3 linked regions of the Drosophila melanogaster genome follow. The protein of the gene in region 1 purifies or fractionates together with the protein of each later gene. This does not show direct contact. Each region holds a gene or a part of one and is shown in the gene's direction. Other genes may lie near its edges.

The links.
Region 2: the proteins of CG7483 (region 1) and Bin1 purify together in Drosophila melanogaster (affinity purification with mass spectrometry, with the first as the bait; one study listed by BioGRID). This does not show direct contact.
Region 3: the proteins of CG7483 (region 1) and Prp19 purify together in Drosophila melanogaster (affinity purification with mass spectrometry, with the first as the bait; one study listed by BioGRID). This does not show direct contact.

What each region holds. Positions count from the first base shown.
Region 1 is NT_033777.3:8,311,124-8,314,875, forward strand, and holds CG7483 (uncharacterized protein), read left to right. Parts: upstream 1-2,084; 5' UTR 2,085-2,214; coding exon 2,215-2,347; intron 2,348-2,407; coding exon 2,408-2,774; intron 2,775-2,829; coding exon 2,830-3,021; intron 3,022-3,082; coding exon 3,083-3,590; 3' UTR 3,591-3,741; downstream 3,742-3,752. Other genes in the region: CG11694 (uncharacterized protein), read right to left, coding at 160-945; CG11698 (uncharacterized protein), read left to right, coding at 1,121-1,909. UniProt on the Drosophila melanogaster protein: ATP-dependent RNA helicase. Core component of the splicing-dependent multiprotein exon junction complex (EJC) deposited at splice junctions on mRNAs. Involved in exon definition of genes containing long introns, including the rolled/MAPK gene.
Region 2 is NT_033777.3:16,187,899-16,191,650, reverse strand, and holds the start of Bin1 (bicoid interacting protein 1), read left to right. Parts: upstream 1-2,086; 5' UTR 2,087-2,448; exon of another isoform or gene 2,449-3,752. UniProt on the Drosophila melanogaster protein: Involved in the tethering of the SIN3 complex to core histone proteins. Interacts with bicoid (bcd) to repress transcription of bicoid target genes in the anterior tip of the embryo; a process known as retraction.
Region 3 is NT_033778.4:18,449,197-18,452,948, reverse strand, and holds the start of Prp19 (Pre-RNA processing factor 19), read left to right. Parts: upstream 1-1,907; 5' UTR 1,908-2,040; coding exon 2,041-2,059; intron 2,060-2,123; coding exon 2,124-3,477; intron 3,478-3,528; exon of another isoform or gene 3,529-3,580; coding exon of another isoform or gene 3,581-3,752. Other genes in the region: Dnaaf3 (dynein axonemal assembly factor 3), read left to right, coding at 1-172; rswl (roswell), read right to left, coding at 233-1,573; CG30120 (uncharacterized protein), read right to left, coding at 3,581-3,752.

The sequences.
Region 1 (3,752 bases):
CCGTAATCCCCAATTGCATCATGATAAACTTGATGTCACAATTTGTAGTTTATAATTGTGATCTCACCTACGAACTATTGAATTTAATAAAACTGAATTATATTCTCCCTTTTGAAAATGCAAAGTAAAATAAAATATAAGATATACAAGTTATTGGCTTCAGTTGGTGCGCCCCCTCTTCAGCCAGAGTAAGTGCCTCAGTTCCGCCCTCCTGCGCTCCCTGGTGGCCCTATGCCTGGCCTCCTGGGCAGCACAGGCTGCCTTCTCGGCGGCGTTTTTGGTATTCTTGAAATCCACACGGGCCACCTCCAGCTGGCGGAGCAATAGCTCCACCCGCTTCTTGGCCGCTTCCACAAGCTGTTGCTTCTCGCCCAGCTCCTGCTGAGCGCCACTGGCCACGTGCTCCGAGTTGACCACATTATCCTGCGCATTCTTCACCGCCAGCGTAATGGTGTTCAGCTGATCTGCCGCCTGTTTGGCCGCTTGCCCGGCCGCAGCATAAGTAGTTTGGGTGGTCTGTAACAAGGTGCTCTCCTCCTGGACCACTAGCTCCCCCTCGCGCACCTCGGACTCCAGTTGCTCGACAATCTGTTGCTTGCCGGCCAGAGCAGCTTCTGCCGCCTTGGCTGCGGCCAGCGCTTTGTCGGCCAGTTGCTGCTTCACCTGGCGGGCAGCTGCCTCGCCAGCCTCTATCTGGGCATCGGATGCCTCCATGGCTTCCTTGGCCGCCTTCTGCGCAATGCATGAGGCCTTTACCCTGGTCTTTCCATTCATCTTGAAGTCGCACGGGGCACCGCCGGAGGATGACGACACACTGTTGTCGCCATCACCATGATGATCCGACATTAGAGCAGCTATCTCATTGGAGGACTGCGGCAACTTGTGGCCCGCAGAATGATCTGAGAACAGGAAGAAAAGTAGAAATGCGATTCGTGCTATCTCCATGCTTAACTCGAAATAGTTGTATTAAACGGATTTCTAAAGATATTTAAGAAATATATACTCCAGGTAACTTGTGGTTACTGTACAAATATTTCAAATAATAGTGATTTGAAAGGTGGAGCTGCTATATTCCCATTATTATCTCCACATTTCGATTTCCTGATGAGCCTTGAGATTTATGTACGATGCAAGATTCCCAATGCGTTGCGACTCCCTGGTTACGATGTTGCTTCTTTCGAACATCCTGCTGTCGACCGCCGCGCATCCTGCCCAGCGGAATGATCCGCGTTTCAAGCCCGGCTCCCTTCCCTGCAAGACGAGCATGAAAGCCAGCCAGGTGGCCTCGAAGGCGGCCAAGGATGCGAAGGACGCCAAGGATGCGCAGCCATGTGCCGCGGAGATGGCGGGCTACAGGGCACGGGAAATGCTGGCGGACAGGGCGTTGCAGGCGGCCAAGGCTGCGGAGGCGGCTCTCAACGGGAAGAAGCAGCTCCTCGATGAATACACCAAAAGTCTGGCAGAAACGAACAGGGTTATCGAGGAAATCCAACGAGCCATTGCTGCCAGCTCGTGCTCGGCGACGTCGGCAAAGGGGATCCGTGACAAGCTCTGCACATCCGTGAACATTATGAAGAGTATGCTAAAGGAAATGGGCGGAAATCTCGATAACATCCGGAGGATGGCCGACAGTGCCCAGAAAGAGGCCCTGGAAAAGCGCAGCCTTCTGAAAGCGGCCAGGATGCGGGTGGAAGAGCTCCATAGCTGCATGTGCGAGGCTCAGAAGGATCTGGAGCGAAATAAGCAGAGCGCTAAGAAGGCCAACGACGCCGCCAAGGAAGCACAGCAACGGATCGAAGCTTTGCAAAAACTGGTGAGCAGGATTAAGATGCTGAAGCGAAAGGATCTTCAGTCGCTCGAGAACTTCCTGCGCAGGAGAAGAAGTAGCACTCCGGAAAAAACAAGTTGAGTTTCTTGTTTGTTATGGCAATAATCATATTTATATTTTATAAAATACAATAAATAAGAACATATATTCACTTTAAATTTTTTCCGCCCGATATCAGTGTTGCCACTTGTCGCAAAATAAGTGAAAACATATCGATATCAAATTAAATCGACGCCGATTCAATAATCGATTGTTGCTAAGCAATTGATAGGCCACCCCTAGTAAGCGGACCGCATTTTTTTCTGTGAAAGTCAGAAAAATTAGCCGAAAAAGACTGTAAATATTTATTAATATCAGCCGAAACCGCACGCGAACAAATCGTGAACATGGCGCGCAAGAATGCCCAGGCGGAGGACCTCTCCAACGTGGAGTTCGAGACGAGCGAGGATGTGGAGGTGATACCCACATTCAACGCCATGAATCTAAAGGAGGAGCTGCTACGCGGCATCTACGCGTACGGTGAGTGGTGTGTATACCTATGGCCGGTCTAGAACTAATCCAGTTTTCTGCACTCCCAAGGCTTCGAGAAACCCTCGGCCATTCAGCAAAGGAGCATTACGCCTATCGTCAAGGGACGGGATGTGATTGCCCAGGCACAATCAGGCACGGGCAAAACCGCCACCTTCTCCATCTCCATCCTGCAGAGCCTGGACACCACGCTGCGGGAGACGCAGGTTCTGTGCCTGTCGCCCACTCGCGAGTTGGCTGTGCAAATCCAGAAAGTCATTCTTGCCCTCGGCGACATGATGAATGTCCAGTGCCATGTGTGCATCGGTGGCACCAACCTGGGCGAGGATATCCGCAAATTGGACTACGGTCAACACATTGTGAGCGGCACTCCAGGACGAGTCTTCGACATGATCAAGCGACGAGTGCTGCGAACAAGGTATGTTTCATTGTGCCCGATCAAACAATATTATAATTATAAGTACATTTTATAGAGCCATCAAGATGCTAGTGCTGGACGAAGCTGACGAGATGCTTAATAAGGGTTTCAAGGAACAGATATACGATGTGTATCGCTACTTGCCACCAGCCACCCAGGTGGTGCTCATCTCAGCTACCTTGCCCCACGAGATACTCGAGATGACCTCCAAATTTATGACAGATCCGATTCGCATCTTGGTCAAGCGGTAAGCAATATGATGCTCCCCCATATACGCAGTATGATTCATAAATTCCATTCCCTCACAGTGACGAATTGACACTGGAAGGCATCAAGCAGTTCTTCGTCGCCGTGGAGCGCGAGGAATGGAAATTCGATACCCTGTGCGATCTGTACGATACTCTGACCATTACCCAGGCCGTCATCTTCTGCAACACGAAACGCAAGGTGGACTGGCTGACGGAGAAGATGCGCGAGGCTAACTTTACAGTCAGCTCGATGCACGGCGATATGCCGCAAAAGGAGCGTGACGAGATCATGAAGGAGTTCCGAGCCGGCCAGTCGCGAGTGCTCATCACCACCGATGTGTGGGCTCGGGGTATCGATGTACAGCAGGTGTCGCTGGTCATCAACTACGATTTGCCCAACAACCGTGAGCTGTACATCCATCGCATCGGTCGTTCTGGTCGTTTCGGACGCAAAGGTGTTGCAATTAACTTTGTCAAATCGGACGATATCCGCATCCTGCGCGACATTGAGCAGTACTACTCCACACAAATCGACGAGATGCCCATGAACGTGGCTGACTTGATCTAAACTAATATTCTATCATTACTTTTATGTAACGCACTTTTCCTAGCCGTAACAACAAACGAATGAAGTAAATACATTTGAAGAGTATTTGAATTTCAATAGACAACCAAAATCTGTATAATAATAATAAATAACACGTAAGAATTTAATACAGAAACCAGTTTG
Region 2 (3,752 bases), 7.9 Mb from region 1:
ATGAATCGCACCGCAATTGGATTGTTAACACATTTGTACCAAGTGAATGTATGAAAAATGGTTTCTCTTTTTGGGGTCAGAAAATTCCTGGCATTTCGATTGACCTTCGACGAAATTGTAAATTCTAATGCGGCCCCCATACACATACCATAACAGCTCATCCATCCCCGCCCACTACTTTTACAAATTGGATTGTTATCACTCAAAGTCCTTGGGCGATTCCGAGGAGTTTTCACTTGCCTCAGACTCAAACTGATTCGACCAGCCCCTTTGTTGTCGACTGTCACTCGCAACTGTGCGGCTCCAAGTGCAAATGTATCTGTGTATCTGTAGGTTTCTGTGTGCGCCCGTCTTGTCAGCGCTTTGACATGAAAATAGTTTGGGCCAACTTGGCTATGCAAAAGCGATTTCTATTAGGAGCCGCCATCGCCGACATGTGCTGCCGAAATTCGGTGATTTGGGTAGGATGAAGAGATTACCAAAAGTTTACAGTGGTTCTTGCTTCCAAGCAAGGAAGGAATTAAAATCCTGTTCAGCAAATATTCCAATAAATCGCTTTTAAGCAAGTGTTATCAGCAGTTCAATGTTGAGTTCAACCGGTTGAAACCCGCTGGTTATCGTAAATCATGGCCACGGTAGTTCCCTCGATTCGCTTCTTATCGCGACGACAGTCCCCACTGACGCACCAAATGGACGTATTTAGACTCCATAGATAACATTTGGCTATTGTTACTATGGTTAATTGAGACATTTACAACTCAAGTATACCTCAAGTCAAGCAGAACATACGTATGCGCGCATATACAGTCGAATGGAATCGACGTCGCTGCCAATCAGGCCGATGTGTTAAGTGAGTTAGGGGCACTTTTGCTTTTGGGACGTGACGTCAGTGCAAACTGCAGCTAGATCCAGTCAAGCCAATTGACGAAAGAGCCGACGGCAGCGGTCTGTACGTATTCAATTCATCAATTGGCAAAACCCTGGCAAAAAGGCAAGAAGATGGAAAACAAAACAAAAGCGAACGCAAACAGAAATAGCATAAAATGGACAACAGACGCGACAACACAGGCACCAATCGTAGGGGCAAAAATTATGAGTTGCTTTTATTTTAAAATCGTTTCATTTATTTTGCGTCAGCAGCGCCTCTCAATGAGGAAACGCTGCGTATACATAATTTTCTGGCCACATATACGCACTCCCATATCTTTCTCCCATCGATTCAGTGGTCGTTCGCAATCAAAGGCACAGACGAGTGATCTTTCCTTGGCCTTTTGCAGTCTCTTAAAGACGGGTTGTTTTCGAGTGTTTTTTGCAGCAGAATGGTAATCAGAATGCTCTCGGCAATTCTTTATTGAACGACCGTTCAATAAATTTCACAAAAGGAAATGTTATCAGCGGGTATTCTTAAAATAACTCAATCTTTAACAACTTATATTTGGAATCAATCACATCAACCCGTAATCAGATAACTGATAACATTTTAGAGGAAATAGTTTGTACCGGCACATTAACAAGTTAATGGTTTTGTTATTCGCCTTATCGTGAAATACTGTAAATAAATTTTTTAATTGCTTTTCGAAAGTAGTTGTTTACAACTTAATTTATCAGAGTGTTTTTGTTCTCCGCTCAGAATTAATCACGAAGTGGGGTGGTAATCCAGATTAACATAAGAAAAAAACAATTTTAAAATATAATATTAAGTCGCCATTATGCATGAGTAACAACTAACAAATTGCTATAAATAATAGGAGATAATCTTGAATACTGCTAGAAAGTGTAATACAATGTAAGGCAATTAAATGTGCAATAAAATCAATGTTATTATCAGCATGATTGTATATGTCGGAGCGCGACTCTTCGCATTCCAGAAATTCCTTCTGTGATTTCATATTCTGATGAAATTGTAATATTGCGGTAAAATTCTGTCGAGCGCTGCGGCAGAGGCACGAACAGCCTCTGCAGCTGAGTGAGGTCCGATCGAGTGGTCATAAATAGTGTGTTAGAGAGAGATGACAATGTGGCACACGCCAGTGTGTATAGCCATTAGAGAATATGATGAAGAAGGGACATGTAAGAAGATCCCTTCAGTGAAGTTTGACTGCTGACGTCGATCGGAACTTGCTGCGCTGACGTACAAAATCGCGAAGTGAATAAATAATATGGATGAGACTCCTGTTTCGCCGACATATACAATAGTGCTCAAGACCCTAATGGAATTATACGTTAATAACCAGCCACATTTCTTAGATATTTCTAATATGAGCCATCTGCTGCAGGTTCTTTCCAATATCTAATTCTAGATCTTCTTCGAATACGACCTTTTTGGCCATGAAACGATGATTTGCCACTTCATTCACAAGCATTAATTTGTCATGATTCTCTTAAGCGTGCACTTTATCTGAAAGTCTGAACAGCTGGCTGCGAAATGGATTCCCCGGATTGGAAATGGCAAGTAAATCTGTCCTCGCTACAAACAAGTGGGCACCACTGGGCATTCGGGGAATAGGGATATGGGTAGGAATGGGGATATATTGTGGCATTGGCGAAAGGTCGCTATGCAAAGCCAAGGTCGAGACTTACACCCAGGACATTGTGTTGTGCGGCTGGCAGTAGAAACGCCCACGCACACGCCCCTGTCAACTGGCCGGGTAAAAAATAGAATCAAATACATATGTATACAGAACAGGAGTTGAAGCAAAGCTCGCATTTTATTTGCATTTGTGAATTTATTGCTTTCGGTTACGTCTGCTTCGCCTTGCCACTTTTCCAAACTCGTTGTGCTGCTGCTTGGGGAATTTTCGGAAATTCGAAGTGATTGGGTTTGGAGCAGTAGCCAAGGGCTTCTACTGTTGCTCAAAGCAATTAATATTTGAGAAAAAATAACGAAAACGAAGTAAGGCGGCAGCAACAAAGCGACCGCAACAGTGGCAACAAATCGCCCCACACCGCACGTCTTCAGTTTACAACCAAGGACTTGGCACGTTTAAAATTCAGCCAGCAGCCGCAGCAACGAACACGGACAGTGGGCGGAATTTAATTTCGAAAAACATATTACTTTATTGTTCACATCTTTACCCACCTTCCGATTCGAGTACATACGATTCCACTGAAGCCACTGAAGACTTACTTCACTTAAAGTACATTTTCTTCAACTTCGTGGGGTCTTTCTAGAACTTAAGACTTATTCTAACTTAAAAAGACTATAAAGTTTTTAAACATTCCGTTGTTTTGTCAAATTTGAATAATTTACGAATGTGAATTTGTCGCAGAAGTATTGCTGAGTATTATCTTTATAAATTTTTCATTTTTTAAAGTGACTAAAGAAACAGCTTTAATGCGTCTTACTTCATATTGGTCATCCCGACCACAGTGCACTGGTTACCAAAGTATGCGATAACAATAACATCGTCCACTATGTGGTCGTTGCTGGGGTTACGGGCAGTCAGTCACGGTCACGGCTGCAACCCCTCCGCTCCGGCCAAAACGAGTCCACAGAACAATGGCCAAGGACGAAGGGGGGGGAGGGGGGATTCAATAACAACAGCAGGAACAACAAACATTCTGCTCCCACGCAAGAGCAGCAGGAACTGTGGCAAAAACAGCTGCTGCAGGATCAACGAGGTGGGAGTGGATTCGAGGACTTTAAAACACGAGCCAACTAAAAATATTCAGACACGCCGAAGCGAAAATACCCTTTAGCAGGGGGTTAATTCAAGTGGGGTATTTTCCCCTTCTAGTGTTTTTCTTTTACC
Region 3 (3,752 bases), on another chromosome or scaffold:
CATGCCAGAAAGTACTTTCAAATATGACACAGACACAGATTATGGTGAACCTGCTGAAGAGTATACTGGTCTAGTAATTGAAGAGATTCCCTCATCGAATCAGACTGTGGCAGCCATTAAGAAGGAAGTGGAGGCAGAAGGTCCCCTACAACCAAAAACTAACTTCCCATGAATAAGAAATCCGAATCCGAATAAAATGAAATATGCATCTTAATGAATACAACGAGTAACTTTAATTTTGTCTCTGCTTTTTCTTTTGCTTCCCCGTTGCCCAAGTGTCCAGTTGGAACTCCAAGCCCTCCCGTCGCTGCCTTACATTCTGCGGAGTTGCATAGGAGGTAGCCTGCCGGCGATTCTCGTCAAAATCAAACAGATGATCGATTCGCATATTAAGCTTCCTGGCCCGCGTGCCTGTGCTCCAATGATCTTTCTCCCTGCGCGGCTGGAATTCGTTTTGCACGACCTTCCGACGGGGCACATGCTTCAAGGCCGTATCCCAGTCGCCGGTTTTCTTGAGGTCCAGCATAATGTTGATCATCTGGTTTAGAGTTAGCGACTTTCCCGAACCGGAACCCCACTGTAGGTAGCGATCCAGGGGCAGTCTCGCCATCCGAAGGCCCAATCGTTTGGCTTTGGCCAGCGAAAGGGGTTCGTTGTTCATAGTGTCTACCATGGCGCCCACGATGTAGATGTCATCTGGGTTGTAAGTGACCAGATCCTCCCGGCAGTGGGGCGTTAGGTAGACCAGGTTCTGCTTGGGAAAGAGTTCCGTAAAGCACTTGCTATGCAAATTTATCGGGAACTCTGGATTGTGCATGGTGGGGATGTAGCGTTGGAGGCTCTGCATGCATCTGCTGTCCATCTGGGTGTTGCAATAGTGCAGATCGAAGGGCTCATCATTCATCCGGTTCTCCGCAAAGCACATCATCAATTGCTTTGCTGCATAGGTAGCCTCCCGATTGTTCATGTGCTCATCGTAGGAGCAATCCAAAACCATTTTGGGGGCAAACTGCATGGCCCGTGTGAGTCGGTTGTTCTGCCAGTGATTAATAGTGGTATCATAGATACGCAGAAACAACGATGTGTGTCCCAGGCCATAGATAATGTGCGTATTCTCCTCGCGCTCCTTTCGCATCTCCGCAACCCGCCGCTCGGCTTCCTTCGCTCGCTCTGCCTTCTTGCGTTGATCCGCCTCCTTCTTCATCTCGATTTGCCAGAGATAGCCAAAGTACTTGATCCTAGCTGATTTTGTGGGTAGCGTCAGCACGTGCTCCCAATGATGATCCTTAAAGAATTCCAGTGACGGCACCCGCCGACCCTCCTGGTGGGCAATGTCCGCCTCCAGCTGCAGCACCTTGAGTCGCTTATCCCGTTCCTCCTTGTTCTCTGATATCGTATCATTACTTAACGCAGGAGCGGGCTGGGAAAACGGATTGACGAACTTTTTTTGGGGTTCCTCTGTGCCGGCTATCAGGTTCTCTGCGCTGGAGGTTTTGGAGGCTTGCCTCACTGGTGCGGCACATCCCTTTAGCAACTGGCTGCCCAGACGCCATCGTGCAAAATGCTTCAGCATTTTAAAAATATACCTTAATGGCAGTAAACTATGTTATAAAACTAGATCGTGAATTGAATAACAGAAACAACGTGCTAGGGTTGCCAGCAATTATGGATTGTGCGTGCGGAACTGTGATTGGCAAAACGGTGAGATAGCTGATTGATTTAAGATATGTTACTCACTTCTCTATCAGTAAATGTCATTTATCTATAAAAACTATTGTTATGGATTAAATACTTATTGAATGTGTTGTGTTATCAATAAAATAAATTGTTTAAATTCTAGCTAGTTTTTTCTGTGCAAATTTCTAGCCAAAATCCATTTGATCTGGCAGCCCTGTGCTCGAAACTCCCGCGTCGCCGAGTAACTGGCATAATAAGAAGAAGCGGCTTTGCCGACAATTTTGCGCTTGGCTCGGGAAAAACGTGTAAAACATTTAATTTACCAACAAGACTACGCGAAAAGCGACATAATCACAAACAGCAATGGCTTTGGTTTGCGCACGTAAGTGAATAATTTAGATTTTGATTTGAATTGGGCCATTATGAATCGCACTTTCCATTCCAAGTGACAAACGAAGTCCCCGAGACGCCCGTGGTTTCCCCGCACTCGGGAGCCGTTTTCGAAAAGCGGGTGATTGAGAAGTATCTGTTAGAGAATGGCTGCGATCCCATTAGCGGCAAGGAGCTGAAGCCGGAGGAGCTGATCGAGATCAAGACGCCGGCTGTGGTGAAACCGAAACCGCCAAGTGCCACCAGCATTCCGGCCACTTTGAAAACGATGCAGGACGAGTGGGACGCCCTCATGATTCACTCGTTCACACAACGCCAGCAGCTGCAAACGACGCGCCAGGAGTTGTCCCATGCGCTGTATCAGCACGATGCCGCCTGTCGTGTGATTGCCCGCCTCAATAAGGAGGTGGCCGCCGCTCGCGAAGCTCTGGCCACGTTGAAACCGCAGGCGGGCATTGCCAACGCACCCACGGCAATACCACAACCGGCCCTGGCCTCTGAGGCTGGCGGAGCTGCTGCCCATCCCATGGAGCAGGCGGGCATGAGCGCCGAGGTCATACAGAAACTGCAGGACAAGGCCACGGTGCTGACGCAGGAGCGTAAGAAGCGCGGACGCACTGTGCCCGAGGATCTGGTTACAACGGATCAGGTTAAGAACTTCCTTACTGTGGCATCCCATCCCGGCCTACACTCGGCCTCCGTTCCCGGCATTCTGGCCTTGGACATCAACAGTGCTGATCACAGTAAGATTCTGACCGGAGGCAACGATAAAAACGCCACCGTGTTCAACAAGGACACAGAGCAGATGGTGGCCATCCTGAAGGGACACACCAAGAAGATCACCAAAGTCATATATCATCCTAACGAGGATACAGTCATAACCGGCTCGCCCGACATGAACATACGCATCTGGCACGTGCCCACTTCGCAGACGCAGCTTCTCCTGCGCTGCCACGAAGGACCTGTTACTGGCCTTTCGCTGCACCCCACTGGCGACTACTTGCTGTCCACATCATCCGACAAACACTGGGCATTCTCCGATATCCGCACAGGACGCCTGCTCACCAAGGTAATCGATACCGCCGAAGTCGGGCTGACGACAGCGCAATTCCATCCTGATGGTCTGATCTTCGGTACGGGCACCGTGGACTCGCAGGTTAAGATCTGGGATTTGAAGGAGCAGAGCAATGTGGCCAACTTCCCTGGTCATACCGGTCCCATTTCGGCCATCTCCTTCTCGGAGAACGGTTACTACCTGGCCACCGCTGCAGATGATGCCTGCGTTAAGCTGTGGGATCTGCGAAAGCTGAAGAACTTTAAGACAATCCAGCTTGATGACGGCTACGAGGTCAAGGATCTGTGCTTCGACCAAAGCGGAACCTATCTGGCTATCGCCGGCAGCGATGTCAGGTAAGTGAATTGTACTTTTCTTATTGAAATCATTCAGAATGAGGTTAAAATAAGTTTTAAATTGTATTCATTTAATGTTTTAAGTATGGTGTTGTTGTCTAGCTTAGACTTTATTTTTCCATCGTTGCTCAACCTGCTGATCATGATGCTTCTTGAAATGCGCCATCCAGTTGTGTAGCCGGTTCTGCTTGACTAACGCACGGCGAGACATTTCCTTCTCCGCTGCCATGCGACGTCGAACCTGCTGCTCGACACTTCGCAGCTTGCTCGGTTCG